2 linked regions of the Struthio camelus genome follow. The protein of the gene in region 1 interacts with the protein of each later gene in a biochemical or structural test. Links are inferred from orthologs where the notes say so. Each region holds a gene or a part of one and is shown in the gene's direction. Other genes may lie near its edges.

Region 1 (15,337 bases):
CATACAAATTTTTGAATCATCATCTTCCTTTTAAAATCATATATTAAAATTCAGTACTCTAGCACCTAAGTGAAATATGTTTCATGAATTCTTTTTAGCATGGTGCAACTCTTATTATTAAAAATCTGGAACGTGTGTGTGCTTTTAAAGAACATAGAACTTTTTACTAAAATCCAATTTTACTTTGTCATAGTAGACTTCACTTTATGTCCTCCTATTTACTACGAGTATGTCATAAATATTTGTACTGCTCACATTCCCCATTAACTCAATAGACTGTTGGGTTTGGTAAGGAATGTAGGATTTATGGTGATATTAATATATTATGTCTAATTTGTGTAAAATTAACATCTAGTTTAATTGTTTAGAGCTGGAAGAATTATTCAGAGTAAATAATTTAGGCTCCAAAAACTTATGCCCAGTTCCTATCTGTAATCACAGGAGTAGGACAAAAAAATTACACGGTTTTGCAGTATAGGGACCTGATTGCATAGCTGGTGTGTTTTTCACTTAGAAACACAAGTAGTTTACCAAGGGCTTTTTGTTTGGAATTAGAAACCTCTCAGCCCTGGGCTCTTGCTGAATGATTAGTTTTGATTATACTTTGCCCAGCTATTAAGTGTATGAATCAGTTGCTCAAGTAAGTCACATGACATTGTTTCCACTTCCTAGTTGAAGAGCAGTGCCTTTTCAGCATTGCTTCATGAACATTTCAGCATGAAAACTTCTTGCAAGTAAACTAGCACCGCTCTCAGTGGATTTTTGCTTTCTGAAACATTCCTGCAGAACAAAAATTATTTTTATGCTTGCTTCCATAAAACAAATGAAAAAGATGATGGCTTCCGTCAAAATAAGTCCTCTATTTTTATTCGTGTGAATTCTGACAGTATTTATTTGAGGCATTCAGTAGCTCAGCTGTCAGCTGCCTTTAAAAACTAAGCCAGGTGAATGATTTGCTTCAAGCATCATAATTTGAGGTAGTCGGTACTGTTTTACTATAAGACTTTGAGATATCTTTGTTACCTCCCTACTTTAGTGTCTAAATTTTTAAGAAACTGGTAATCCATTCAGGAGATCTACTGATCATCAGACTCACCTAGTTTGTGGTTAACTCTTATTGCACTTAAAACAAGTCTTTATCTTATTTTACCTAAAGCACAAAATTCCAGTTTGAACAGAAAAATGTAAGTACAAAGGTCTTACAGGACTCATGCAGTGGCGAGTAATCTCTCCTTATTTTTATTAACAGGACTGCAATGCTGAACGTTACTGTGTGTAACCCCTCTGGGAAGACTTAAAAGGCAAAATAGGTGTTATCTCTGCAGCTGGGAGTGCCAGATCCTTTTGCTGGAAGTTTTCCAGTGACCTTTGGAGTCCCTGCAGGGAGTGAAGGGCCCTATCTCACGTCACCCGCCAGTGGTTCCACAAGAGTCGATGCTGTCCCATCAGCCTGTCAGTCTGGCAGTGAAATCACTCTGCCACAGGGTCCATATGCTGCTGACGGGAATTTCAGCACAGTATTCCAGCCTGTAAGTGTAAGCTGCTTCTGAAGTCTCATCTTTGTGCAGCGGTTATTCTGAGTAGAGTCAGGAGAAATTCTGGTCCCAGGAGTATCACTATTATTGGCTTGAAACTGATAAGAAAACTGCAATCGTCTTCAAGCCAAGATTGCCTCTGACTTGCTTCCTTCCTCTGTGTTTTTGTTGTTTCCCATGTACCGGCTGTTTCTTTGATCAGCAGTTAGAAGTCGTTTGTGACGTTCCCTGCTAACTCTAAGAACTTTCCAAAGCTTTCTTGTGACTCCCTTCCCTCTCCCTGCCTTTGACGTTTTTTGTTACATTTAGTAGGCCAACTCCTGCTTAGATTACTCATGCCAGTAATCCCTGGGCTGGCAGTGGGATAATTAGAGAAAGCTGAATTTAGCTCAGCAGCAAGGTCAAACTTTCAGATACAAGACAGCAACCACGGTGAGCAATGAAGCTGCTCTCTATTTGTATAGGTTCAGTACTTTACAAAACCTGACTTTTTAAAATATGAGCCAAATGGAGCCCCAAACCTTTCTGCCATTGAAATTGAACTTTTTGTGACACTAAGTTGACAGGTTGCACCAAAGGTTATTATCTTTGTCTTTCCGCCTCCTAGCACTTTGTTCCACAGATAGCTTGAGCATGGAATGTTTGCAGGCTGAGAACTAAAAAACGACCTACAGGATAGTGAGGCTGTCTCATTATGTGACTTGGGAAGCACACAATAACTTGAACGCAAGAGAAATGGTAATGCAAAAAGCCCATCAAATCCCTGAGTTCTCTGATGGGCCTTGTGCAGTTCTTATCCACCTAAAGTTCCTCCCAACAGTGTCAGAAATGTGCTTCTCTGGAGTGCCAGCTTGACGCTTTCACATCTGTACTACGCTACAGAATGTAACTTTTTACCACATTTTTACTCTTCAGATTAGTTTAGATCCCTGTTATAGTCTCGTCTAAAGGGGAGTAAAGTTGGTTTAGAGAGGAACACTACATCCATGGCAGGGACTGTTTTGTGACAGGATGTGTCACAAGTTAAAATACGTAGTTAAGAAATAGCGTGACCTTATTTTTCTAAGCTGATCTTCCTCTTCCTTTCCTGTCCTATAGCTCTTACTTCTCATATCATGTTCTTTTGATTGTAATTTGCTTGTGTAGCAAAGGGTCTCCTGCTATCCACGTTTTTGTGCCTAACACATTTTTGATGTTCCCCTAATATAATTTTTTTTGTTGTTGTTTTGCAGATACCCCCCCAGGATCATGTCCACAGTGCAAACAAGGACTGCTTAGAAAGGTTGATGAAGCCTAAGCCACGCTGTACCATTTTCTTTTTAAAATCCTTTGAGATCCATAGAAAGTTATGTCTAAGTCAGTGCTAAGGTTCTACATTACTTTAGTGGCCTTCCCAAAATGTATTAGCTCGTCTTTGTAAACGTACCTTGTGAAAACCAGAAGATTGGGGATTGACTTTTTTTGATCTCCTTGCATGTTGACAAAGTTGTGGTTACTCCGGTAGACTACCTGTTGCCTTAAAAGCAAATGTATGAGTACTGCTCCAGGATGACTGCATACATATTTCTGAAGTATTAATGCTAAATCAAAACACATATGTAATAGACAGTTGTGTATTTTTTCCTATGTGATTCAGTGTCATAGTGCAATGTTCATGGAGATATGCTCTAGGACGGTTACCAATATATGTGTTGAGCCTTAGCTACTTCAGTTAATACTGCAAATGAGTATTTTTAGGAGGAGCTGATCATCATAACACACCTTTGACCTCAGAGTGAATTATTCATACAAGCGACGGGATGCTATTTTGCTAACTAGCAGGATTTCCTTAAATAATGATGCTAACCCAGATGTAGAGCCCAGCAGTCTTTATGCATGGTGAGTCTACAGACACCTGTGTTACATCGGTGTTTAGTCCTAGGTGCAGTTCTGGGCATTTACAGTTGTGAGCCAGAGTTCCCTATACAGCTCATGTAGCATCTCAGTTAAAGGCCTGAATTCAGAGTTAACTGTGTGGAAATACAAGTAGGGAGCTATGTTTTTTGTTTTCTGGATTTACCAGCAGGTTAAACCTCCTTTTTTGGATTATATTGTGGATGATATGATGAGAAGTAGCCAGCCGTATATTAATAGCTGCAGTCTTCAGCAAGTATTTGGGAACACTCTTCCCCTAAAAGGAGAGTTGGGAACTGACTTGGGAGTGTGTTGTTAACTGCCATGTTAGTGTTCTGTTACGTAATTTGTCTGCTAGAAACTGCACCAGTTTCTGCTCAGATCAGAGAGTCTTCATGCTCAATTCAGTGGTGTAGGGGTAGGGTCTGTGAAAATAAGCTATATTTCCTATATGTTCCCTTAAGCCATACAATGGCAAAATCAAAAGGAAAAGAATGACATTTTCTTGGCAGTTCACTTCAGAAATAAATTTATTTCGAGATAAAAGTTAATTTAACTTTTCCGTCAAAATATGTAGAAATAGCAAGGACATGTGTGAAAAATAAAGCGTTTCAAATGTAGGGAAGCAGCAATGGAATTTGTGGATGCTCACTGGTTGTGATACTAGCTCAGGACATGTGAAAGCCAAAATTCCTAGCTTTGCCACTTATTTCCTGTGTGGCCTTGACAAGTCATTCCGTCTCCCAGCTCTCTAGCTATAAAACAGAGAGTAGCAACACTGCTCCACCTCCCAGGAAGATGTAAGCATGAATGAATTAAAGACTGTGTGAGCTGTTCATGATGAGAAAAAACACTGAAGTTTGCAAGATGGAGAGAAGATTGAAAAATAAATTCAGGTGGGACAGAAGGCAGGTTATTGTCTAGTCTGAGATAAAAGACTAGAGAGTGAATGGACAATTTGTGGATAGCGCAAATATTGAGCATGAGGATAATTGATACATATTAGTAGGAGAACTCTAAACATGGTTGGAGGAAGTCTTAAGGCAAAAGTGACAGTCTAATAATGCAGAAGAAAAGAGTAGAGTGAGAGATGGGGAACAAAACTGTTGCATACTTTTTCCTGGTATTTCAACTGTAACTTCTTTGGGACAGAACTTAGTGCGGTATCTGAAAAGCATTCAGAATAATCTGGTCACCATGCATATAATCATTGAAATATGATCCTAACCATAAAAGAGGAACTGTGTATGTAATGGCTCATTAAGCATGTAAAAAAATTGGGGACAGGTAAACCACTTACAGTTTCACAGCCTGATTGTACATGATTACAGGTGACAAACTGGAAACAGGTTGAGTTATGATCCCTACTGTGAAAGGAGGTGGGTGAGCAGTAGTCAGGCAGTGTCAGGAAGTGAAAAGATGCTCCCGGTCAACTAGTGTGGTAATTGCAAGTGACTGAGCTCTCAGGAGAGGAGCCAGGAGTGAGTAGAGCACAAGGACAGCACGTGTTGAGGACATGGCCACAGAGACCCTGAAGACAAGGGGAATGATAAGAAAAGGGAAGAGGAGTATAGCATAATTTATGTTTTTTCACCCTGGAGCTGTAAACATTGTTTCTCCAAATGAGAAAAGCCGTAATGATAAGTAATTCAGTCATCTGTCATTGGACAAACTTTGCACATCAGAAATGCTAATGAGTCACCAGTTGCCTTTCCCAGCTGAAGGGAAGGTCCTCTTTACTTGTCATACCATGCTGCATCCTGATCTACTGGCTTCCAAGGGGATTGGCTTTGGCACATAAAGCCTTTTCATTTGAAAATTGTCATGGTGTGGCAGCTTTTACATGTGCAGTATCATGTTTCCCCTCCCTGGGGCACAGGAGAGGGGAGAAGTGGGTGTTTTATTACAACACAAGAAGTAAGATGGTGGGCTGCTAGCTCTTTATTCACCCAGAAGACTACTGCTCCATGCCTGCCTGCTCCCATGGTACGCTTAGGGCACCGCGCTGTCCCCAGCTGAGGATATTGCCCCCCCCCCCCCCGTCATTCCCAGGGCAGCAGTACTCCTCTTCCTGCTCCACAGTGCCCATCCCTGCCCCTGGCCAACTCTGTCTCCTTTCCTCTCACCCCCTCCACAGGTGGGAGAGAGGAGGCGCTGGACTGTGCTGGCATTCACAGCTAGGAGAGCTTTGCCTGCAGACAGGGCATTCTGGAGCTTTGTCAAAAGCAATGAAATATTCTAATTTAACAAGGCAGTAAAGTAATTGTATAATGGCACTCTGCTTCCTAACTGAGGTGCTGCATGCCATGTCCGAACTATACTTCCAGGGCCTTGGACCAAAAGCAGAGTCCTGTAACGCCCGCTCGGCGTCTAAAGCCAGCCTGGATGTTGTAGCTGTACACACGAGGGAACCCCTTTTGCAGCCCACAGGAGTCGAAGGCCTGAGAACAGGACAGGAGCTGAGTCTAGGAGAAGTGAATGAGAATTCAATGCTCAGATGCCATTAAAAACCCCAGCAGTCACGAAATTCACTTGTATAAAGCAAATATATTTGCATTCCTTCATGATTATGACTTTCTTTTCAGTTTCCTTCCCTACTAACAGCAACCAGTACAACTAACTTGGTATAAATGACTTTTAGTGCTGTTCAGAAGTTTGGAGCAGCTTTTCTAATCCTTCTCTAGCTTATAGCTACTAGAGGCAACCTCTACTTTGAGATGGAAGAATAGCACCCTCAAGAGTTGACAGCAGTGCTGCTTCAGGGATCCATAATATGCAACAGACATCCTTCCTCTTTTAGCTGAATTAACTCCCGGACACATTGAAGTGAAGCAACAAGACAGAAATTTTTTCTTGATGTTAGATCTGAAATATTTGGTATCCATCTCTGTTAATGTGAATGTGGAAATAGGCATTTGTCTGAGAGATTATCAGCTTGTAAACGTTTTAGTTGCCGTTGAGGGAGGGACAAAAAAAGAATAAGAATGCTCTTATTTGTCGGAGTCTGGGAGTCTCATTTTAGACCGTATTAAAACAATTTGAACAGGAATTTATGTTTTCGTGCAGAAAGAGATTATTTAAAAGTTCTTAACTTAGATAAAAGGGGTCTGTGTAAAAAAGACTGAGCAAACCAGTCCTTAAGTTGTGGGGACTTGTTCGTTAATTACAGTAATTAGGAATGGAATCTGATCCTGAACTTTCTGATTTACTTTGAATGTTTTTTAATGTGTGCCTAGGCCTTAATTTCAAAATGATTATAAAATGTGAGAGTGTTTTAAGGCTACAGAGGCGTAGGTATTGTTATTAAGTGACAAACAGTTATATACTTCTGCTGTATTGCACAGCACTGATCTTTTATATTAAACGTGCACGGCCCCCTCCTGTTTCTGCTGACTTCAGAGTTAGATAAGGCCTTCGGAGTAAAACCGAACCTCCAGCTGGTGTTCCAGAAGAGAGCGTGTCCCAGTAGGCAAAATGTCAAGGGCTGGATTTGTCCCTTTTCTATGAATGGGATTGCTTGAGTGGAACAAGCAGAATTCAGACAGTCAGATGCAGTTGGGAGATTTTACTGTAGACTCTGAAGCATCCAAAGCTTGTTTCTGTCACAGGCTTGAGGGTTCTCTTCTGTAGCATGACCTTGTTCAGAGTTATTACTGGTATTTTGATTGTGCTACAGCTCCAAATCGACCAGTGAAATACCCCTTTCAGGAACCGCTTAAGTGCTGAAACCAACACGTACAATTTTAGAAAATATTGACCATGTATAAAAAGAATTTATGCTTGATTTTTTTCTACTGCTATTGAAAAGTGAAAGGTATATTCTGTAGTCTGTAAATTTACATTTTTCCCTGCTGTAGGTACAGACTCGATTCTCCTGATAGGATACTAGAATGCAACAAGGCTATCTGAATCTACGGGCCCTGCTTTTTGCTCATGAAACAGGTTCATATGTGTGATATGCAGTACAAAAAAAGGGTTCATTGAACACTGTAGTTTTGTTTCCTGTTTAAGACTTTGTCCCATACTATTAATTGCAAGGAATGTTTCAAACCCTTTCTGAGCAAGCAATTTACTGTGTCACAAGTTTCTGGTTTACTAGGACATCCAGGACGAAGAATTACAACCCTTCCCCCACCCCCTCACCCCAGCCATCACTATGTTGGAATCGTTTCCTCTGCAGATCTTGCTCTGGCAAATTTAGGCTGCACCTGGTCCAGTGGCTTTGGCATGTCCTTTCTCTTGTGCCAGTTTCAAAGCGAGCTTCTGGACCAGCAGTAGCTGAATGCCTGGGTGGCTTCCTGAGGTGCACCTGGAAGACAAGCAAAGGGCCAGAGAGGGAAAACAAATAGATCGGTCCGCTCTGCAGACTGCCAGGGATAGCAACAAGAGGAAATTCTGTGCATCCTTACCCCTCCCGAGCTGAAGCGTGAAACTCGGACTCTTAGGAAGTCCGTGGAGCTGCTGCAGGAACATACTGCGCTACCCTAGGAGAGAGGTCACGGTAGCTGAGAGGTGCAGGTCGTGTCTGCAGTCGGCGGTGCGGGAACATTGCTTTGCCCCAAGCAGCCAGGAAGCGGAGGCTGGGAAGGCAAACAGTGTCTCCAAGGAGGCTAGGGCTGCAGGGCCGGGCGCACGGCAGGCCGCCTGGCTGCTGTGCCGCTGCACGGCGCGGGGAGCCGGGGCCCAGCTGCACCCGGCTTCGTCTCGGGTTCGCGCCGGCAGCCGGCCCGCGCCCGTCGCGGGTCTGCGGAAACCTGCAGTCACATTTACCTGCTGGGTTCGGGCGGGGGGCGCGGCGAGGGGGGAAGGCACCCACGCGTTCATCCCTCGCCGCGGGGCGCCGGGCCGGGCCCCCCCCCGCGGCGCGGCGGCAGCCCCGGCCGCCCGAGCGGCGCCCCGCAGGTGCCCGCGAAGGGCTCTTCCGCGGCCGAGGCGGGCGGCTCTCGGGCCAAAGCAAACGCGCCAGCAGGCGGGCAGCCGGCCGGCTGCGGAGCGGGCTGCCCGGGGCGCGGGGGCGCTCACCGCCGCCCGGCCGACCGCCCCGCCGGGGAAGCCGGGGCGCCGCGGGATGCGGCGCAGCCTGCCCCGAGCCCGCCCGGCAACAGGGCGCTCTGGGCAGGTAACGCCCGCCGGCGAAACCCCGCCGTCGGTGCCCTGGGCAAACACGGCCGGGCTCCTGCTCCAGACTGGCCAAATATTTGCCAGTAAGCGCGGGGGGTGGTGAACTTTGAGACTTTCTCCGCAGCTAAGCCGGGGATTTGCCGGCTCGGGGAGCGCGGCGCAGGGCTGGCAGCGGGCGGTGCAAACGTCCCGGCCGCCTTGGGCCGCGCCGCCCCGCCGAGCGGCGCCGGGGAGCGCGGGCGCGCAGCGGCCCGGCCAGCGCGGAGCGGCGGCGGCGGGGGCGGCGGGGGCCGCGGAGGGGCCGGGCGGCGCTGCCAGGGCGCTAAGACCCGGCTGCGCGGCGGTCAAAGGTTCCCAGCAGGAGGTTGGACACTAGAGGGCGATCCCCGGCCCTGCTGCGGGCGTGTATATATAGGGCACGCAGGACCGCGGCAACCCACTAGCAACGGGGCAGGCAGGCAGCGAGCGGGGCTCGGGCGGGCTGGGGCGGGGGACGGGCTCCGGGCGAGCGGAGCCGGGCCGGGCCGAGCCGAGCCGGGCCGGGCCGGGCCCGCCGCCGCCGTGCCGCTCGCCGCCGGGGGGCCGCGGGGCGCCGCGGGCTTGGCAGAGCCGCCGCCGCCGCCGCCCCGTCCGAAACCTGGATTGCAGGAGCCCTTCACCATGCCCGGCGCGCTGTAGGTGCTTCATGGAGCAAGCCAACTTCTACGAGGTGGACTCGCGGCCCCCGATGAGCAGCGGCCAGCACCACCAGCTCCAGACTCCCCTGCCCGGCAGCGCCTACAGCTACAGAGAGGCTCCCTCGGCGGCGGCACCTGCTGCGGGCGGCGCGGAGCTCGGCGACATCTGCGAGAACGAGAACTCCATCGACATCAGCGCCTACATCGACCCGGCCGCCTTCAACGACGAGTTCCTGGCCGACCTCTTCCAGCACAGCAAGCAGCAGGAGAAAACCAAGGCCATCCTGGCTGGGGATTTCGACTTCCACAGCATGCATGGGGCCGGCGCCGCCTCCTCGGCGCCGGGGCACCAGCCGCAGCACCACCAGCAGCCGCTCTTCGGCTGCGTGGCCGGCTACCTGGACGGCAAGCTGGACCCGCTCTACGAGCGCATCGCGGCGCCGGGCTTGCGGCCGCTGGTGATTAAGCAGGAGCCCCGCGAGGAGGAGGAGGTCAAGTCGGCGGCCCTGTCGGCCCTCTACCCCCACCACGCCGCGCAGCAGCACCCGTCGCACCTGCAGTACCAGATCGCGCACTGCGCGCAGACCACCATGCACCTCCAGCCCGGGCACCCCACGCCGCCCCCCACGCCCGTGCCCAGCCCGCACCACCCGCACCACCCGCACCCCCCGGGCGGCCTGCCCGCCGGCGCCCTCAAGATGCTGCCCGCCGACCACCGCAGCAAATCGAAAAAGACAGTGGACAAGAACAGCAACGAGTACCGGGTGCGCCGGGAGCGCAACAACATCGCGGTGCGCAAGAGCCGCGACAAGGCCAAGCAGCGCAACGTGGAGACGCAGCAGAAGGTGCTGGAGCTCACCACCGACAACGAGCGGCTGCGCAAGCGGGTGGAGCAGCTCACCCGCGAGCTGGAGACTCTGCGGGGCATCTTCCGGCAGCTGCCCGAGAGCTCCCTGGTCAAGGCCATGGGCAGCTGCGCCTAGCGCCCGCCGGCACGGACTCGGGGCGCGCCGCGCCCGCCGCTCACCCGCCCTTACCTATCTCTATGACTTACATCGGAGCGCAGCGACCTGAGATTGTTTCACGGGGGGTTGTGTTTTTTTTTTCTTCTTCTTCTTCTTCTTTTTTTTTTTTTTTGGTTTGGAACAATTAACGACCAATAAAAGAAGCCAGGCAGCTGTAGTAGTATTAAAAGGTTTGTGCCTTAGGGACGACACACGAATAAGCTGAAGAACATGGTGGGTTTTATAAGGAGAAAGGCGAAGGGAAGGGAGAAAAAAAACCCCACGTGTCTACACAGGGTAAAAATAATAATAATAAAGCACACAGAGCAACCCACGTTGTGCCTTAAAAGCTGGCTGCAGGAGCTCTGGGGCTTTCTGCTCCCCGCAGCCTGGCAGGGCCTGAGGGAGAAGGGCGAGGGACGTGCGGGCAGGCGGGGGTCCCGGCTGGGGCAGGCTGGGGCCTCCCCGCGCGGCCGGCCTGCAGGCGAGGGCGCGTTGCGGGGCGCCCAGCGAGAAGGGCTAACCAAGGCTGAGAGGAGCTGGGCGCCGTGGTTCGGAGCACCGAGGCGTGGGAGAGCTGCCGGACTGCTAGCCGGACTGTCCCCGCCAGGCTCTGCGCCTTTCGGGGAGCCCCCTGGGCGCCCAGGACTGCGAGGGAGCACGGTGACCTCCTTCCCCCGAAACGAGGAGCAGCAGCGTCTTGTACTGTATGTCACGGCATGGCGAAGCACAAATGAATAAATACCTATCGATGCGGGTATTTACTAGGAACTTTCAGTGTATTTTGCTTTATTCCAGGACATGGAGCTCCTCGGTCTGCCCAAGCTGTGCCTCATGTAATGTGAAAGCCTTTCCGTGTATACTAGCTACACTTTATTTTTATTGCATTACTTAGCTCTGTGCCATCACACGACTTCCTTATCTGGTGACAGAGACTATGCCCTTGTGCTGCAACGTTATTTTATGATGTGTGTGGGTGGGTGTGAGCGCGCGTGTGGCCTTCCCGGCGAGGGCCGGGGCGGCGGGCCGGGGGGACCGGGGGGCCGGGGCGGCGGGCCGGGGGGGCCGGCGGCGGGCCGGGGGGCCGGGGCGGCGGGCCGGGGCGGGGGGCCGGGGCGGGGGGCCGGGGCGGGGGGCCGGCGGCCGCCGCGCAGCAGGCCCCGCGCGGCGCCCGGCACCTTTGGACTCTGGAGCTTCCCCCGGGCGGGGAGAGAGAGAGGAAAATAAACGGCGGAGCGCGTCCCCCGGCAGCCGGCGAGGGCTTTCCTCCCGGGGCGGCCGCGGCCCGAGCCGGGTCGGAACAGGCGTCGGGGGAGAGGAGCGCAGGGCGCCCGGGGCGCGTGTGCGAAGCGTGCGTGGGGCGTGTGCGTGGGCTCGGGGTATGCCTATGTATATGTATATGCACACACATTGGTGGGGTGGGGTGTTTTTTTGTTTGTTTGTTTGTTTTGAATTCGTGGGGAGGGAGGGGGGGACACCCCGCATATAAAGTTTGTCCAAGTCCTGGTTACATTCATAAATAAACAGCATATATCCTACCGTCACCCGCCGCCTCCCGCTGTGTCTCCCGTTCTTCTCCCGCGGCGCTACGAGGCGCTCAGCGCCGCCGCCGCCGCCTCGGCCGGGCCCGCGCCCCCCCCCCCCCCCCGCGGCCGCCCCGCCGCGCCTCCCGCCTCCCCCGCCGGGGCCGGGGCCGGGGCCGGGGCGGCGGCGGGGGGAGGCGGCGCGAGGGCCGGCGGCGATAGGGCGCTCGGGCCCCGCCCGGCGGCTCCTGCCGGGCCCGGGGGGAGGCGGGCGGCGGGCCGGGCCGGGCCGGGCCGGGGGCGGGGGCGGGGGCGGCCCCGCGGGTCGGCCCTCAGCAGCCCCTGCCCGGCCGGCGCCGTGACGGCCCTGGGGCTCGGGCCGCGCTTCCAGGTAAGGTTACCACCGCCCGCCGCGGGGCGCCAGACCGGGCCCCGCCGGCCCTGGACCCCTGTCAGCCCTGACCCCCGCCAGCCCTGACCCCCGCCAGCCCTGACCCCCGCCAGCCCTGACACCCACCAGCCCTGGACCCCCGTCAGCCCCTGACCCCCGCCAGCCCTGGCCCCCGCCGGCCCCTGACCCCCGCCGGCCCTGGACCCTCCGCCGGCCCTGACCCCCGCCGGCCCTGGACCCCCGCCGGCCCTGACCCCCGCCGGCCCTGGACCCTCCACCGGCCCTGGACCCCCGCCGGCCCTGGACCCCCGCCAGCCCTGACCCCCGCCAGCCCTGGACCCCCGCCGGCCCTGGACCCTCCGCCGGCCCTGGACCCTCCGCCGGCCCTGGACCCCCGCCAGCCCTGACCCCCGTCAGCCCTGACCCCCGCCGGCCCCCGACCCCCGCCGGCCCTGGACCCCCGTCAGCCCTGACCCCCAGCAGCCCCCGGCCCCCGCCGGCCCTGGCCCCCGCCGGCCCTGGCCCCCGCCAGCCCCCGGCCCCTGCCGGCCCTGGCCCCCGCCAGCCCTGACCCCCGCCAGCCCTGACCCCTGCCAGCCCTGACCCCTGCCAGCCCCCGGCCCCCGCCGGCCCTGACCCCCGCCAGCCCTGACCCCTGCCAGCCCTGACCCCCGCCAGCCCGGGCCCCGCCGGCCCTGGACCCCCATCAGCCCCTGACCCCCGCCAGCCCTGACCCCCATCTGCCCCCGACCCCCGCCAGCCCTGGCCTCCGCCGGCCCCGACCCCCGCCAGCCCCGACCCCCGCCAGCCCTGACCCCCGCCAGTCCCCGGCCCCCGTCAGTCCCCGGCCCCCGTCAGCCCCTGGCCCCCGTCAGCCCCTGGCCCCCACCAGCCCTGGACCCCCGTCAGCCCCTGGCCCCCGTCAGCCCCTGGCCCCCGTCAGCCCCTGACCCCCGCCAGCCCTGGCCCCTGCCAGCCCCCGGCCCCCGCCAGCCCTGACCCCCGCCAGCCCTGACCCCCGCCAGCCCCCGGCCCCTGCCGGCCCTGACCCCCGCCAGCCCCTGACCCCTGCCAGCCCTGGACCCCTGCCAGCCCTGGCCCCTGCCAGCCCCTGACCCCTGCCAGCCCTGGCCCCCGCCAGCCCTGACCCCCGCCAGCCCTGGCCCCCGTCAGCCCCTGGCCCCCGCCAGCCCTGGCCCCCGCCAGCCCCTGGCCCCCGCCAGCCCTGGCCCCCGCCAGCCCCTGGCCCCCGCCAGCCCCTGGCCCCCGCCAGCCCTGGCCCCCGCCAGCCCCTGGCCCCCGCCAGCCCTGACCCCCAGCAGCCCCTGACCCCCGCCAGCCCTGGCCCCCTCGGCCACAGCTTGGCCAGGCAGTCGGCTTGACCTGGCATGGGCCGCTCGCGCCAGTGGCTGCTGGCCCCCGGTGACGTTATTTCCCCACCCAGTGTCCACCGGCAGCGTGGCTCCCCGTCGCTGTTGCCGGTACTGGAGCGTCCCAGCACACGGTGATAACAGAATTCGGACAAGCCTAAAAGACAGGTTTGAACGCACAAGTGTCTGAGGCAGTGATACCTGGGCCGTAAGCCCACACGTATCCTCATAAAAACTCCCAAATCTGGTTGAATATGGTTGTACTAGTTCAAGTTTCACTCTAACCTATGCTGTGCCCACAGGCGTGAAGCAACATCCCAGTTCAGGCGCAATTTTGGGTGCGCAGAGTACCCTCACCACCTCCAGGAAGGGTTTCCGTCCTGACAGCAGCTGCGAGTGCATTAACATCTGTTCTCCTGAGCTGAGAAAGGGTAAGGTTGGTCGACCAAAAGCTGTCATGGCAGTCGGTCTGTGAGTGCTCACAGCATGGGATGTGTAAAAGATGAATCAGGATTAAAGATTTTGGTTTTCAGTTAGATTTAAAGCCGGGGCCTGGGAACTAGTAGAGTTAAGCTCTACTGGTGTCCAGCAAAAATGACTTTTACTCATGTTTCCTCTCCCCCGGCCCTGTAAAGCTGTGCTCCTGTAGCGTATGATGTGTTGTACTTAGTAATGCCATCCAACATGTAAAGTGGGGAAATGCTGTTATCATCTGAGCCGAGATTATTGCAGGGTATATGTGGGAGGGACTGTAATCTGGTGGTTAGAGCATGAGAATACAGTCCCGATCATTTGAGTTATGTTCTGAGCTGTGACTCACCGTGTGTGCGTGTGGTTTCAGCAAATCATTTATGGCCTCAAACAAAGCAGATTTTTCTCATTAATTTAAATGGACTATAGATTAAATAGGTCTATAGCGGCTGAAGACTCAACCATTCCATGATGCAAAATTAAGATCGCCTATCTACCGCATAGGTGTTTCAATAGTTATATAAACGCAGCGTGCCATGGGATATTGTGGAGTTGATAGCAGGGAAGCATTTAGAGATACTTACCTTGAACACAGTGCCAAAGCGAGCAGCTTTCCATAACCCTAACCCCAACCCGAACCATAGGCTGAGCATAGCCAAAGCCCCCTGCGTTGCCCAGCCATGCCGCTCGCGCAGCACGGTGCTCTTTGCGGCCTGCATTTTGCTTTGGCAGCCCCTCTCCCACTGCTGTGCATGGCTTCCTTTCCCCTCAACCCTAGCCCTAGGCTGAGCCTTAGGTGAGTCCTTCAAGCCATTGCTCTGCTGGAAAAGTTCTCACCGCTGCGTGCTTAGGGTGTTTGCTGTAACCACAGGGCCAGAGTGAGTATTCCAGCTCTGGAAGGAGAGACGTGGTGTTTTGTTTTGTTTTGTTTTGTTTTGTTTTGTTTTGTTTTGTTCTTTCCAGTTATTCCCCTCCTTCCCCAGGTGAGCGTGAAAGCACTCCCTTACTGCCACAAATTATGCTGTCAGACTTCCTGCATTTGGGAAACCCCAGAACATGGGCTGAACTTCACCCCGAAGAGGATGATTTTGTCACCAACGCGGAGTGCTATAGTTTGCAGGATGATTTTTGTCGCTGGCGCAGAGTGCTGTAGTTTGCAGGCGTAGCCCCTGCGGGGTAACTGCTGTGAGAGGCGGGCAGCCCGGCGTGCTGCAAGGTCCGTGTGCCTCCCCTCTCGGTGAACGGGTTCGCTTCGGCAGGAACGGCAGTCTGGCGTGAGTACGGAGAAGAAAGCATGGAGTGGCATTAACTCAGGTTGGATGCCTGATTCCTGTTGTAAAGGTGACCTGACA
Region 2 (15,034 bases), on another chromosome or scaffold:
GTAATTTTCCAACTGAAATTGAAATACTACGGGCTTGATCATTAGCTTGAATTGCACCTGGCACTTCACTGGGTAGAAAAACACAACTGCCTTGGCAATTGAGGAAGGCTGCTGTGCCCGTCAGCTGACTTTTTGATGGAAGTTATAAAATGCTACTGATTCTTTGGGGTGGCTGTTTGTATTTGTTGGCAGCTCTTTGCTCTTTCACTTGCAAAGGTTAGGTCTTGTTAAGCAATAGTGTCCTCCTTATGCAGATGTGGTCTCTGTTGCGCACAACTCTGCTCCAGACAGAAGTAGCTTGAAAGAGTTAAAGAATGAAAATGAAGTGTCTGATGATGAATAAGCTGATCCCTATGATTCACAGAAGTGGAAACTCAACAGCAGTTAAAGCTTCAAATCTTAATCTGTTTTGGCTATAAGATATCATATGTAAACACGCTATGTTAACAGTTCACAGAGTAATGTGTGTCTCATTATTTGACGTCAGAAAATTTTGCAATAATATTTAAGGAAAGAAACTCATAGGTTGGGTTTTAGTGTTTTTGTTTTTGTTTTTGTTTTTCCATAAGGTGTGCTTTACAAATACAGAAAACCTAGATGTGGTTAACAGGGGTCTCGCACTGAAACATGCTGAGGATTGGTCTCTCCCAGAGAAGTTCCATGTAACATTTCAAGCGATTAAAGAAATGTCTGATCAAACATTAAAATAAATAAAAAGCAAAAGAGACCTATATGCAAAGACTTTCAGTGGTACCCTGAGGCATGAGCCATTAACACAGTTCTCTCGCTTGAACAGATTATCCCAGTTAAACAGAATTCTCCATTTTAAAACTAGAAACGCTCTCTGAAGTTTTCAATTCAGTGGGAGCAGGAAGTATAAAGATAAAGAAAAACACAATCAGGCAGGCACCTCATGGAAGATTTAGCACACTTGTGCTAAAAGGAGCACACAGTCCTCTGAATCAAGGATATATTCATCATTACCGCTCCTGAGCAGCGATCTTATTCATTCTGGAAGAGTCAAAAAGACTGGGCTAAGTCAGTGTTCCCTTGAGAAATACCCGGAGCAAAAGCAGGGGCTGCAGGAAGTGATACCGATGACTCAGCAGCCAAGGCCAACACACTGCCTTATTTTAGACAATGTCCTACTGGATATACTCATGTTTCCTCATGAGTGGCTGATGACAAAGGTCTTACCTGTGGTCACAAGTACCTCATGACGTTTTTCTCAAGAATAGCTCTAGTCTTGTGGCCAAAATTAACTTAGAATTCACTGTGCAACTTGATTTAACTTCTACCACAGTTTCAAGTGAGTGTTAATCTCCATCCAGCCTAAAAAATCTCCATGTAAAAACCTCTCTCCTGAGGTTCTGTGTGGCCCATTAACTGGAAATTTCAATAATAGGTAGTGCTCTGTTACACAGTAAGGGTGCACCTAGTAAGGGTGCTTCTTGGAGTGGAAAATGTTAGAATATCCTAAGGACCAGTCTTCCTTTCTCCTTGTTACAAGAAAAGATTATTCTGCAAAGGGATCAGTCATCGAAGGTTTTTTTAAAATATATATATATTTAACATCCTAACTGCAAATAAATCTTGCATTTAATTTATATATATATATATATATATATACACACACACACACACACACACACACACACACACACACACACACCTATATAATCATTCATATATAACAATTTATTATCTGGTCATAAAATACTGTTAATATATATTATTTCAAAGACATGAACATGGTCACAGCAGTGCTCAGAGAAAAATCATATGCACAGATGCTACCAGATTCTGTGTTGTCAGCAAGTAATTATAAGAAGTAAAAATATTACACTGATTGTTAATCAGGTATAATTCTAGGATGAATGGAAATCATATAGTAAATACCCATGCAAGTGCTTAACTTTGTGAGGCACGAGTAATCTCACTGAGTTAATGGGACTGCATTGAGGTAGATGAGAACTGTGTTTCATCATTTCAAAACACTGCGTAAAATGGAGATTCAGGGCTAAGGAGAGAGTTTGCCTCAGTTACTTATTGTGATTTTAGTCCGGACTTGAACACAGAGCTTGCAAGCACTCACATGAATTGAATTGCATGGGAAGCTTACCAAAGGAAGTGTTTGCTTGTAAACTCAATATGAATAGGATCTTCTCTGACCGCAAGGGAAATGGAGAGACACTCATTCACTGGTCGCTTGTGCAATCAACTTCTGAAGTAAAAACAGGATTTGAGGTTTAAAACCTGAACCTTCACATATCTTTCAAGTAACAGAAGAAGCCTTCATGTGCTTTAGTCCATGAAGAAACAAAGTCAGGAGGTGCTGCTCATGAGACTCCTTGGATTTGATAACAACTGGCTTATCAAAAGGGAATTATTTAGTTTTCCTAGCAATAGCAAGCCTCAGAACAGTTTCTGTGAAGGCTTGAGGGGAGACGTCTGAACATCATTACATTTCAGTTTGTTTGATGTCCCTGCGTGCCTGTCATGCGTTCTATATCTTAACATTGAATCTGTCACTCAATTCCAGAATGTCTTAGTATGGTTGCATGTTTATCACGATGTGATTTTGTTGTAAAAAACATAACTTGTAAGCTCTTTTTATCACTGGGCCACACAATTGCACCTCAGACTTTTTCCACGCGGGTTGCTTTCACATAGCACTACGGTAGTAGATTATGGACTATTTGCTCGTTTTAAATGCTGGCTTTAAATCTACTAGTCGTTTAAATATCATGACATGGCTTGAGCTAACTTGTAAATACAGATATTTACTTTTCATCATTTGCCTGACAGTTAAATATTAGCTGAAATATTTGTGTGTGATGACTCTTCTCATCTGATAGCTAAAATGATGAGTTTTTAATTTCTTCCCATAGCAAGCAGCCAGTTTATTTATAAGTGGCCTAATCTAACACAGATTTACTCTGTGTATCCCATGAGACATATTATCAAAGTAACCAGACCTGTCCCAAGCACTTGGGAAGTGGGGAGATGGTTACACAATTCTCATTGCCTCTGGCTGTTCTAGTTAAAAAGATAAAGGGTCAGAGAACTGGAGCAGCAGAGATGATAATTTCGTGAGCATCTAAGGAAAAGCAGCTGATCAGATGCGGGCAGGCAGTGGCTGAGGGTGAGACGGGTAGATGCTTGAATACCACATAATAAAAATTCCCTTAAATAAAGTAATACATCAGGAAAAGGGAATGCAAAAAGCTTGTGAAAGCATGAGCAACTGAAAATATCTCCAGCTTCTTAAATCTTCATCTAGCAGGTGCGATAGCACTGCTTACCTGTTTTTAAAAAAGGAAAAAAAATATATATGAAAAGGAATATTCACCCTACCTTGCCATGGCTCTAGCCAATGTGTGCTGAGCAAGACCTTTCCCTCTGCTGGGATGCCTCAAAACTGTGACAGCCATCCCACAGGCTGTCACCTCTGCTCCAAACGCCAACTCCCTGCCTAGCAGTTGGGATTCCTGGAAGAGAGAAGACAGCAAGCAACCCTGATTGCTTCGATCATCCTTTTCCAAGGCAGGATCAGATTTATGGCCAGATTTTGCACCGTCCTTTGACTGCAAACTCCTTAGAATTCTTTAGCGTTTGGAAAGTGTCTGTTGCACGCAGATTAGTGATCCGTGTCCTCGAAGGCCAGGCCTGCCCCACCTTACTCCTACCCAGCCTGTATTTGAGCATCCAAGGCTGTGTGCTTGGTTCCTTGTAGTATGCGGGATTGTAGCTCATAGTGTTTCGTTTTTCTGGCACTTAGGTAACAAGACTCATGCACAGAGTCAGTATTTTATCCCAAAGTTAAGTCTATAAATGTAATTCTGCAATGATCTGTGCTTTGCAGTGTTTTACAGTGCTATCCATCTGAGATGCATGAGACCGCCTTGCTTCATTTGGAAGGGCTGGCTTTAAATCTACTAGTCGTTTAAATATCATGACATGGCTTGAGCTAACTTGTAAAATACAGATATTTACTTTTCATCATTTGCCTGACAGTTAAATATTAGCTGAAATATTTGTGTGTGACCTGTTTAGACTCAAATTCATCCCTGGCATAGCTGGGAACTGCCAGCACCAGTATTCATCTCCTCTTATAACCTATGGCAGCCCTCAGAAATATCCTTTTTTAACGCACAGCACCCTGTAAGAGAGCACAGATGCCCCATGGATCATCCCAAACCATCCCCCAAAATGCCTTCAGTCCCTGGGCTTCCTGGGAACCCGTTATAAAGGGGATCAGCTGGTACAAAAGGTATTCAGATGCAGTAGTAAATGCCCAGGGTACCTCTGAAGTCCTTGAAACAGTTGAAGATTAAAGATGCTATGGCTCATTGCTGGCTCCCTGAGCAGAGATGAATTTCTTTCTTCATGTATGCTAAGCAGGTAGCATGAGAAAAATCTTCCTGGGCAGGGGGGAGAGATGAAATGACGAAGGCTTGTGCAGGGAAAAGAAGGAAGATATCAGTGGCTTTTGATTTCAAGAGGAAACTAATGAGGGAGATACGCCTGGATATGCCTGGATGCTTAAAAGCCCGGGGAGCAATCTATAACACGTGACTGTTGTGGGAAGTGTGGTAGACTCATATTCTGCACTACTTTTCTAACACTAGAAAGCTACAAAAAGTTCTTCAGTTCTTCACACACCGCTCCCTTGAATTCCTCCTATGTCCTTTCTGCATTGCTTCGCAGTACAACCATAGCAAATCACTTCTTGTTGTGTTCTGCCACACGTGTTGGGAGGAATTAGCAGGGAGGGGGTGCTGCATGTGGACCTTTTCTGACAATCTGTACCCAAAACTTAAAACTGACAAGGCGAGCATCATTAATTTGATTAATGATTAAACCTTTCATGGCTACTATATATTTATTCATGATATTAATGCTCCGAGTACCCAAGAGCATGCTAAGCATTTTAAAGAAGCAGCGGCAGCTTCCTGCTGCAATGAACTGCCTCCGTTTTGCAAAGAGTTTAACCCTGGGAGATTTACGCCTCGGTTCACCTCAGCCACATTTAGGCAACAGAATTAGGAGCATGGTCCACCTAGGAGTCTGTACAGCCTGCTAGGAGAGGCCACCGAGCAGCACTTTGGGAGGGCCACACGGCTCTTGGGCAGTTGAATCACCTTTTTGCTGGCCCTGGAGGCATCTGTGGGGCTCCTTGCTGATGCCTGCACCCGTCCGGCGGGACACCTCCAGGGTGGCCAAGCCCAGCGTCCCAGGGAGAGCATGAGGAGGCGGCTGGCCTGGGGGGGGGGACAAGCCCACAGGCCGTCCTGGGCTGGGTGCGACATCGCGGCACCTGTGTGCTCCACTCTCCCTTGCACCTCTGGTTGATCTTTTAGGGGCACGGGATGAGCAGGGGGCTTTTGGCCATCTTAAGGACCAGCCTCAGGAATCGTCAGGCTCTCGGTGTCTCGAAGGCAGCGTGCGTGCAGGTGCTGGCGGCGCGGGGCCGGGTCGGGCGCGCCGAGGACTCCTGGGCTGGCCGTGGCCGGACGGGCACCAGGAGCCCTCCAGTGGGGCCAGAGGCCGAGGAGGTGAGGGACAAGACTTGTGATTTCTGCAAGTGGTTTCTCAGCACGGTCTGCTCCTTAAGACGTATCTGAGCTCACAGATACTTTGTGCTGGCCTATGAACGGGAAGAGAGGGACCATTTGGAGGGCCAGGACCAAAGGCACGTACATACTGCAGGTTCACCAGTTGGTGTTTACTTTAACGTCTTCACTTCCTGCGCATACGAAATCACCACACGAGTCTGAAGGACAAGTATGGTGAATGGTGTTATATGCTAATAACGCTGGTGAGTAAGGCTTTGTAGCTCCACTGTTATTTTGGTGAAGTGTCTAGACTATTACCCTGCCCCTAAAAAGCACTGACCCCCTTCTCATCCCCCGCCCCCAGTACGCTATCTCAGATGTAGCATGCAGCCTATTTATGCAAAATCCTACCAACTAAATTAAACCTGCAATGGTATCCAAATTGTAAAAAGTCCAGGAAGGGAAAAATAAAACAAAAGTCTGATGGATAATCAGGCATGTTTTATCTATGAAAGGGACAAAATGAAAGAGCATGCTTTGAGAGTTGAGGTGAATTGCTCAGAAGCAATCTGCAGACATTAATAGAATCACATTTCTGAAACAAAAAAAAAAAAAAAAGGAAAATGCAACCCCTGGGATATCCCTTTTTGGCATATGCATTTTGTGTTTAAATGCATTAATGGGACTGCTATGCTATGAGTCATCCAGCACAAGAGTTTCATATGTTTCTTAAAATACACTAGGAGTAGCTGAAGGCATGCACGGCTTTGCAGTGCAGTTATCTATCAGGAATCTCAGCAAATACCTGCTCTTCATGCAACCACAGGCTTGAGAAATGGAGGAACCCTATCTAGTCCTCTAACATCCTGCTGTTTAAACGCACTAGCGTGGTGGCATTCAAGATGCGATACAAAACCGATTCTGCAGCTTAGCAAAAGCCCAGGCTCCTTGTATTATTGTGCAAGCCTCAGTACTGAATTACAGAAAATTTGCATAGATGTAAATAGAAGAGCCGGGAGCAGTTTCCTTCTGAAGAACTGTCAGAATTACGGCTGACTCTATTTTTTTTCCAGCGATCGTTTGTTGTCTGTTTTCCTCTTGTTTTTCCTCCATTTACTAGCAACCCTGGCTGCAAACCGACTTGGTGTTCCCTCAAGCCTGCGCTTCCGAGCCTGCCCGCGGCTGCCCAGGCTGACCCTGCGCTTGGCAGGGCGCTCCCTCGGCTCGCTCTCCGTTCTGTTACCTTTCAGGACAGCGGATGCTTTAAAAACGGGCAACCCCCAAGGCGAAGCGTTGCTGACGGGGCGCAGAAATCCGCGCTCGTGAATGACCGACGGTAAATACGCACCAGCTTCGTGATGCAAACTGCGCGGTGAGCAATGGCTAATTAGCGACAAGTGACAAACAGGAACTGCTGGCGATGCCAGCAGCGAACAGCACGGCGCCGAGCGCGGCTGTGCCCGCTGTCTGTCCTGACAAGCAGCCTGGCTTGGCTGTGTTGTGTTTGCAGCCCCCAGAAGGGCGCAGCGGTGCTGTCCCGCGGGGAAGCGGGGCGCTACGGCAGCTGGCACCGTTCCCCAGCGGCACCCTTGCTGCCGCTTCCAGCACGGGCTTGCAAAACGCCAAAGCCGTGCTCCTCCTTTGCTGCCCGCGACTCCCGCTCTGCCCGACAGCGTGGGCGCCTCTGAGCCACGCTTCCCGCGTGGGCGCCAGGGGCACGCGGGGCTCGGGGCGCCCTGTCCCGGCAGCGCTGGAGCCAGCGCAGGTGCGAGACGCCCGGCGGGGCCGCGGCCAGCGCGACGGGGCGGGCAGCGGCGGCAGCGCCAGCCTCCGCCCCGGCCCCGGCCCACTTCCCCTTGCGTCAGGGCAGGGAGGAGGGGATAAACCTCGCTGCCTTTCTTTCCTTTTTTTTTTTTTTTTTAAAAGCCTCCAAGTACTTTAGCGCGGAGTCGGCGGCAGATGGTGGACACGGCCCGGGGCTGCGGCGGGGAGAGCGAGGCGATGCGCCAGCCGCCGCTCCGCGCCTGAGCCCCGCGTTGCGGCGGCAGCAGCAGCAGCAGCAGCAGCGGCGGCAGCAGCAGCAGCAGCAGCAGCCGCCGCCGCCGGCCCGACCCCGGCGCGGCCGGAGGCTCCGCTCCGCTCCGCGCCCGCTCCGCGCCCCCTCCATGAGCCGCCCGGCGCCGCCGCCGCCGCGCCGCGCCGCCGCGCTCCTCCTGCCGGCCGCCCGCTGCCGCAGCGCCCCGGCCAAGCGGCTGCCGCCGCTGCCCGACGGCCCCGCCGAGGAAGCGCCGGCCGCCAAGTGCCCGCGCCTCGCCGACTGCCCCGGCGGCGCCGCCGACTGCCTCAGCGCCCCCGGCTCGCCCTGCGCCCCGGCCTCGCCCGGCGGCGGCGGCGGCGGCGGCGGCGGGGCCGGGCCGAGCCTCATCGCCTCCTACCTGCTGCTGCCGCTGGCCGAGCGCGAGCAGGTGTCGCGGGCGCTGAGCGTCAGCTCCGGCCGCGAGCTGCGCTGCAAGGTGAGCGCGGCGCTGCGCGGGCGCGCGGCTTCCTCCCCCACCACGCCGGGCGGCGGCGGGCTTGCGGGTGGCCGGGCGCGGGGCGCGGGGCGCGGAGCAGCCCCGGCGACACTGGCCGGGGCAGCCGGGCGGCGCCGCGGAGCCCTCGCAGAACACCCTCCCGCTGCTGCCCGCTTCCACCGGCGGCCAAATCCGGCTGCCCTCGGCGGGCGTTTGCCAGCGCGGAAAATAAGCTCCGGCTGTGGATTACCTTAGAGTACCTGAAAGGCTCTTGGTGGATATTAAAGGCTTTGGGTGGTGCTCCCCCGCCCAACATAAAGTTAACAGTGCTTTAATAGCCTTGGAAGGGGTCTCGGGAACAGCTTTGCTGCTGAGCGTTGGCGCTTTTCCAGCTCCCTCATCATTGTTTGGGGCGAGTTGCTACGAGAGAGGCCGGTTTCAACGCCTTGACAATGAATTTCGCTTTACTTTCCTCCTTACAGGTGTTCCCTCTCAAACACTACCAGGACAAGATCCGGCCTTACATTCAGCTGCCGTCACACAGGAACATCACCGGGGTCGTAGAAGTGATCCTCGGAGACACCAAGGCCTATGTCTTCTTCGAAAAGGACTTTGGGGACATGCACTCCTATGTGAGGAGCTGCAAAAGGCTGCGGGAAGAGGAAGCCGCCCGGCTTTTCAAGCAGATCGTCTCAGCTGTAGCTCACTGCCACCAGTCGGCCATCGTACTTGGTGACCTCAAGCTCAGGAAATTTGTCTTTTCTAATGAAGAAAGGTAAGCCCTTACCGCCTGCCAGCCTCTGGGAGGGAGCGCTAGGGAGAACTGCCGCACTGAGAAATGCCATGTTTTTAGGCAAAAAGTATTCCAGGGAGTGGAAATCTCCAGGTAAACCAGGCGTCACCTACAAGATCCGAGTACGTCCATGTTACGTATATTTAATAAGTCACGGATCTAATTGGTCCGCGCTTATTTTCAGTCCGATCTTGACTGATGAAGCTGAGGAAACTCAGCGTCAGCCTGCACTCATTCACTAAAAGTTTGACGAAACCCTTTGGTGGAAAAAGGGATGATCGTGCGAGCGCTCCTTAGCGCCAGATGTCCAAATATATATCATCCGTGCAATGCGTTCGACAAGAAATGACTAAAAGGCACAGACCGCGGGCGAAAGGAGGCTCAGGCACTAGGCACGCGAAAGGGATAACAGCTCTGCTCTGGCAGCAGGAAGAGGGAGGAATCCCCGTTCCCGGGGAGAGCCCCATGGCCCTGCCAGCTGCCCCTGGTGGTTCCCCCCCCCCCCGGCACCTTTCAGCGCCGAGAGAGGAGCCACCAGCAAGGGTCTTCTCTGATAGCTTCTTATCAGAGTTGTGTTTCTAAGGATAGATTTGCTGTGCCCTTTGAAGCTTTTCTCTCTCTCATCCCTGCCAGCGGTGACGTTGATGGTTTCTGCACCCCACGTACACGTGGACGTGGGCACGCACAGGAGCGAGGGTGTTACATGGTTAAATCTGACTTTGGGAATTCTTCTCTAAGGGGGGGAAAAAAAAACCCCACAAAGCAACACCTTGATAAAACTTAGCCTAAAGCATAGGTTTATAGAGAGATGATTCTAAGCCGATTCTAATAGGAATACTTTCACAATTACTTTTTAATTTTAGATGAGGGAGTTAGTTCACATTTCCCGGGTGTGTTTGCTGCTCTCGAGATCCATCACTAGCACGGCAGAGCCAGAAATGTATTTTAATAAGCAAAACTGACATTGATTAGGTGCTTATCCCATTGACGGCTATAATAAGCAAGAGCTTTAACGGAGTTGTGCTTAGTCTGATGAAACCTGAAGTGTTATTAGTGAAGCAGAGAAAAGTGTATTTTTTTGAACTCGGCTGATACTCCTTGAAGATGCAGCGTACGAACATGATAAGAAAATGAACTAGAACTGCCCCTCTGACACAGAAACAACCATATGTTGTCATGCAAAGAAAGTAATTCCTTTGAAGGAAGCTATTGCAGCTTTTCCCGCCCATAATGAGGTGAAACATTTGTTGAAATGTTAGATTGCACACAGTCTCGCTAATTTGGAAATATGCATTGCACAGGCTAATGTCATGTGCATCAAATTTGGCAACAAGAGGGTTAAGCAACGCGAGGCAGACTCCTCGGCTAGCAAGCACAGGTGCAGTTTCAGCGCTGCAGCAGCCAATCCCGGGCCCACAGTCCGCATTGAGTCATATTTTCCGTTTACAGAACCAATGGGTATTTTGCATTACAACAGGAGGTCACACCGAGGACAGGCTGCAGTTAACGCATTTACACCCCAGCAGACTGCAAGGCAGAGCAGAGCCCTCCCAGAGCACGTGAACGGCTCCTTGACTCATTAAAAGCTCTGCTTTAACCCAAACAGCAGGTCAGGGTGGACCCCTCTTTGGGAGGCTGCCCGTTGCAGTGGTACCAGCTGGAAAGGGCAAAAATAAAAGATGAGGAGGGTTGAGGATAACCCCAAGCGCAGAGGAGATGTGGACTTTGAGTCTGAACAACCGTGCAGCTGCACGCTGTTTGCTCAAAGCTGGGACTGCAAACAGCAGCGCGCGCTGCGCGCCGCAGCAGATTGACCCGGCGCGGTTATAGGGCAGCTTGCTGCTGTTCCTCGAGAGCCCCCGATACTGTTAAAGCCCCGCGGTAAACAAGCTGGCGTCACCGCCTGGGCACACAGGGCGTCACTGATGCACGTAGCCGCGCTTGCGCTGCACGGCTCCAGGATAACGGGGAGAACTTCTCCATCTCAGGCTGAAAAGTGGCCGCCCTCTCCCTTTCCTTTGCACTGAAGCGAGACAGGGATGCTGGGGTTGCCCCGGCTTTTCTTGTTAAAGTCGTGCCCGTCTTTCGCTACCGCAGATTTATAACGTGTGCCTGCCTTTTCTGCGCTTCTTAGGACTCAGCTGCGGCTCGAGAGCCTGGAAGACACGCACATCATCAAGGGCGAAGATGACGCGCTCTCTGACAAACACGGCTGCCCGGCGTATGTCAGCCCTGAGATCCTCAACACGACAGGGACTTACTCCGGGAAATCAGCTGACGTGTGGAGTTTGGGAGTAATGCTCTACACCCTGCTGGTGGGACGCTATCCCTTCCACGACTCGGATCCTAGCAGTCTCTTTTCGAAAATCCGGCGTGGACAGTTCTGTATCCCTGACCACGTCTCTCCCAAAGCCAGATGCCTCATCCGCAGCCTCCTGAGGCGGGAGCCCTCCGAAAGACTCACTGCTCCAGAGATCTTGCTTCATCCTTGGTTCGAAGCGGTCTTGGAGCCTGGATATACAGACCAGGAAACGGGAACTTCGGATCAAATTGTTCCAGAATATCACGGAGACAGTGACGATATTAGTTCCTTCTTCTGCTAATCCTGAAAATCTCAGAAAAACCTCACAATTCTCACGCACGGCATCATTTTTTTGTTTTTTTTTTATTTTTTTTCCACATTGCAAATTCACAGCATCTTAAAGTGCCAGTAGGGTCAGAAAAGTGACCTTGTTTAAAATAAATGTCAAGCAGTAGGTCCGCTGCCTGAGTGTATGCCGAGTCTCACCTGCTTGCTTTGCTGGTGGGTCCTTGCCGCTGGCCCTGGAGAACCCACGCAGGAGCCACCTGGCTCATCTGATGCCTCCGGTGTCCTCTGCTGCTGTGACCAGCTCAGTTTTGATCGCAGAGCCTTATTGCTGGGCACGGAAGAGGCAGAAACGTTGGGTTTCCCCATCCTCAGCGGCTAAGAGGGTCCCACCGGTGAAAGGTAGCGAGTGGGGGGGTCACAAGGCACCTTCCTAGCTGAGCAAATCTGACAGGAGTTGGTAAAAAGGGGAATCGACTTGGAGTGCCACCGTGGCAGTCTTGCAAAGTGGTTTTCTGACTGTAAGTCATGAGGGAAGGAGGTCTTAATCCGCCGCGTCCGGCTACCTGCGCGTTGCTCCAGTTGAGCTTTTTTCCATAGGTAAATGACGTGAAGCTGTTAAAGATCCATCCGTAAGACAAGTCACTACCGCGAGCGCTGCTGTGACTCTTTACGAAGGAGACAGTAGTGGATCTCGCAGCCGCACACCCTCTGATTTCATTTGCTGAACGTGCAAGTGCTTTAAACGTACTTAAGCCCAAAGTCACCATGGCCTATTCTATATGGTTTAATGCCCTCAGTGAGTTTTGCAAGTAGCAGGTTTTGTCAGCTCTGAGTGCCAAAACATATCCGTTTACCAAAATGTAACACTATCGGGTGGGGCGCCTTCCCTCCGAAAACCATAAGGGGTATCTTGTACAGTACATGTAAACACTTTTGTGTTTTCCTGCAGGCTCAAGTCTTTAAAACATCACATCTCTTCTCTCTCCCTGCACCCCCCCCCATCCCCAGGAAGGTAGTCTTAAGCATAAAATCTCTATACATCCTAAGTTGATTGTTGGGGGAAGGTTGTTTGCCTCCAGCTACGTTTTTTTTTTCCCCTCCCAAAAAGAAAAAAAATTTTTTTTTTTTTTGCATGATTATTCCTAGTCTTTCCAATGTGCGTGGATAACGAATAGATCTAAATCCTTAGCTGCCTGGCTTGGGGGTAAGTCAAGCTTAGTCCTGCCTAAGATTTCTGCTTTGTTTTCACGTTTGCGTCCAGTGTCAAGAGACGTCCGTTCGCGTTAGGCGCGAGCGCGGTTTTGGAAAGGGATGTTCGGTGGTTAGTGCGCATCCCCAGCACGGCCCGGCGACGACCAGGTCGTTGGAAGGGTCCCCCCGCGGCAAGGTGCCGTGCCACCACGCGTGGTGAGAATACCACGTATACCTCATGGGCTGCGTGCTCTGTACATACCTTACCGTTCGGGGCCGGGGGAGGGAGGGGTGTCGTCTTTTTTTGTTTTGTTGTACTTCCTTTGTCCTACTAAGAGGTGTCGAAGAGCAATTTAATGTGAATTCTTGTTGGCAATACTAACTTGACAGAATCATGAGCATTAAGAGCAGGGCGCTACCGCTCTCCGTTGCACTAAACCTCTCATGATTGCTTGACATTTGTATCTGTGATACAGTTTAACCCTTCTATGAAAAGCAGTACGTTTGTATATATTGGTAGAAGACTCTGCCAGAAAAGCTAAAAACACTATGTCCACCTTGTAAATATGTATATATCCTGTGGAAACCTGGATGATAAAGTCTGACTTGTAGAAAGTTTTAATAAACTTGGTTTCATAACGGTTGTTCCTGCTCCTTGCGGGGCCGGGGGATGGATGCAGTTTGAACACGCGCGGCTTCCTCTGAAACACGTCTTGCTCTCCAAGAGGATGGGGCAAATCTGCGCTTCCTGCACGTGCCCCGTCACGCCTGCGTCCACGCCGGGCGTTTGAGCACCGGCTCCCGCCGTCCTCGCTCGGGCCGAATCGCCGGCGGGGCTGGGGGCGCTTGGGGGGTAGAGAGGGCGGCAGCCTTCCCCACCGCTCGGGAAGTGGAAGGGGGTCCCTAATTTTGGGGCAAACGAGGAGAAACCGCAGCCCTCGCTGTTGCATTTCAGCCAGCGGGCTCGCCAGCCCCGCGCCCCCGTCAAAAGCGAAACGCAAGGTTGCGGGAGCCGCTTCTCTTGGTGGCTCCCAGCGAGGGCTATAAATAGCAGCAGGATGGAGGTTAGGGAATGTGCTCTCCCGGCAGCGATCGAGCCGTCCTCGTAATCCACCCAGCGCGGTGAGATCATCCCTAGCGAGCGGAGAGCAGGAAGAGAGGCTTGGTTTTTATTTATACTTTGCCTCATGTTTAACTTTGTCCTTCTGCTTGAAATCTGTTCACCAGAGCAACCGCTTCCAGGCAGCTCTTTGAGCCAGAGCAACGCTCGAAAGGCTCTATATTTAGAAAGTGAGCTGAAGGAGAAACGAGGGAGCAGGTACCCGGCCGGTGATAAAGAAAAGTGCACTGACTTTAATGAGGGAGTCAAGGTGCCTCGACTCCCGCTATAAGAAAGCAGCGATCTGCGCAGTAAGCATATTTTCTTAGCACTTTGCCGAGTGAATGTCAAACACCAAAATAATCTCAAGTTACTTTGCTGAAGTTATTCTTGCAAGAGCAGTAAAAATACATGCGTCACATAGCCCGTCTGATTAAATTACCCCCCCCCCCGCCCTGCCATGCTTCAGATCTTGGACAGAAGCCCTGATGCATCTTCTTCAAACAGCTGCGGGAGGTTTGTGTTTTGGTAAAACCTTGAAAACTTTCAAAACATCTTTTTTTTTTTTTTTTCCTTTCGGTCTGCAATTAAGTCACCCTTAGTAGGTGAGTGCGTAGGTCACCCCATGACTTTATTTCACATGAGCTACACTGCAGAGCAATTAAAATAAATGCTAAGCTGTAGTAACATCTGCAAAGGGCTTCTGTGTTGCTTTAAGGATTATCATGCAACATCCGTTTGTACAGCAGAATAAATTGCTATTGCTTCGTAACCCCATCGCTTGTATTAGTGTATACAAAGTTTCAGAGCATGTTGAAAGACCAGCATATTAAGTGATTAAACTTTGACGGTGGGTGTGAGAACTTTGATTTATGCAATGCATACATTTCTTTTTGAGAGAGTCATAATTTGCCTATTTTTAAATGGTCCTTTTGGACAAGGGCTGTAGGGATCTCTTCATTTATTTCTCATGGCTAGTGACCGTTTTGGTCCTGCGTTTGCAAGACGTTGTTGACCTCTCTGAAAAATGCTGGGGGCCTCCAGTTCTCATCAGTTTTCTGCTGAAAACAAAAAAAGTTGAGGTTTTTCACTACCTCACGGGTTCCTCCCTAAACCAGCATCAAACTGCCTCCCAGTCAGGATAAACCTTACTTCATAGACATTTATCTTTATCGACTGTAAATGGATGCTTAGACTGCGTTTTAGGCCTCGGTTCAATAATTTTTTTGACAAAGTCACGGCAAAATATATAAATTAGCCTGCTCTTAAAGCGGCAGGTAAAACAGCCAG

Evidence for each region.
Region 2: the proteins of CEBPA (region 1) and TRIB1 form a complex in vitro, tested with the Homo sapiens proteins (2 studies listed by BioGRID and IntAct, with this or other methods). The link is inferred for Struthio camelus from reciprocal best matches to the Homo sapiens genes CEBPA and TRIB1.

Annotation. Positions count from the first base shown.
Region 1 is NC_090951.1:12,252,571-12,267,907, forward strand, and holds CEBPA (CCAAT/enhancer-binding protein alpha), read left to right. Parts: upstream 1-9,102; 5' UTR 9,103-9,234; coding exon 9,235-10,209; 3' UTR 10,210-11,170; downstream 11,171-15,337. UniProt on the Homo sapiens protein: Transcription factor that coordinates proliferation arrest and the differentiation of myeloid progenitors, adipocytes, hepatocytes, and cells of the lung and the placenta.
Region 2 is NC_090943.1:161,114,624-161,129,657, forward strand, and holds TRIB1 (tribbles homolog 1), read left to right. Parts: upstream 1-6,813; 5' UTR 6,814-6,884; coding exon 6,885-6,894; intron 6,895-7,484; coding exon 7,485-8,071; exon of another isoform or gene 8,072-8,107; intron 8,108-8,553; coding exon 8,554-8,846; intron 8,847-10,998; coding exon 10,999-11,467; 3' UTR 11,468-13,284; downstream 13,285-15,034. UniProt on the Homo sapiens protein: Adapter protein involved in protein degradation by interacting with COP1 ubiquitin ligase. The COP1-binding motif is masked by autoinhibitory interactions with the protein kinase domain.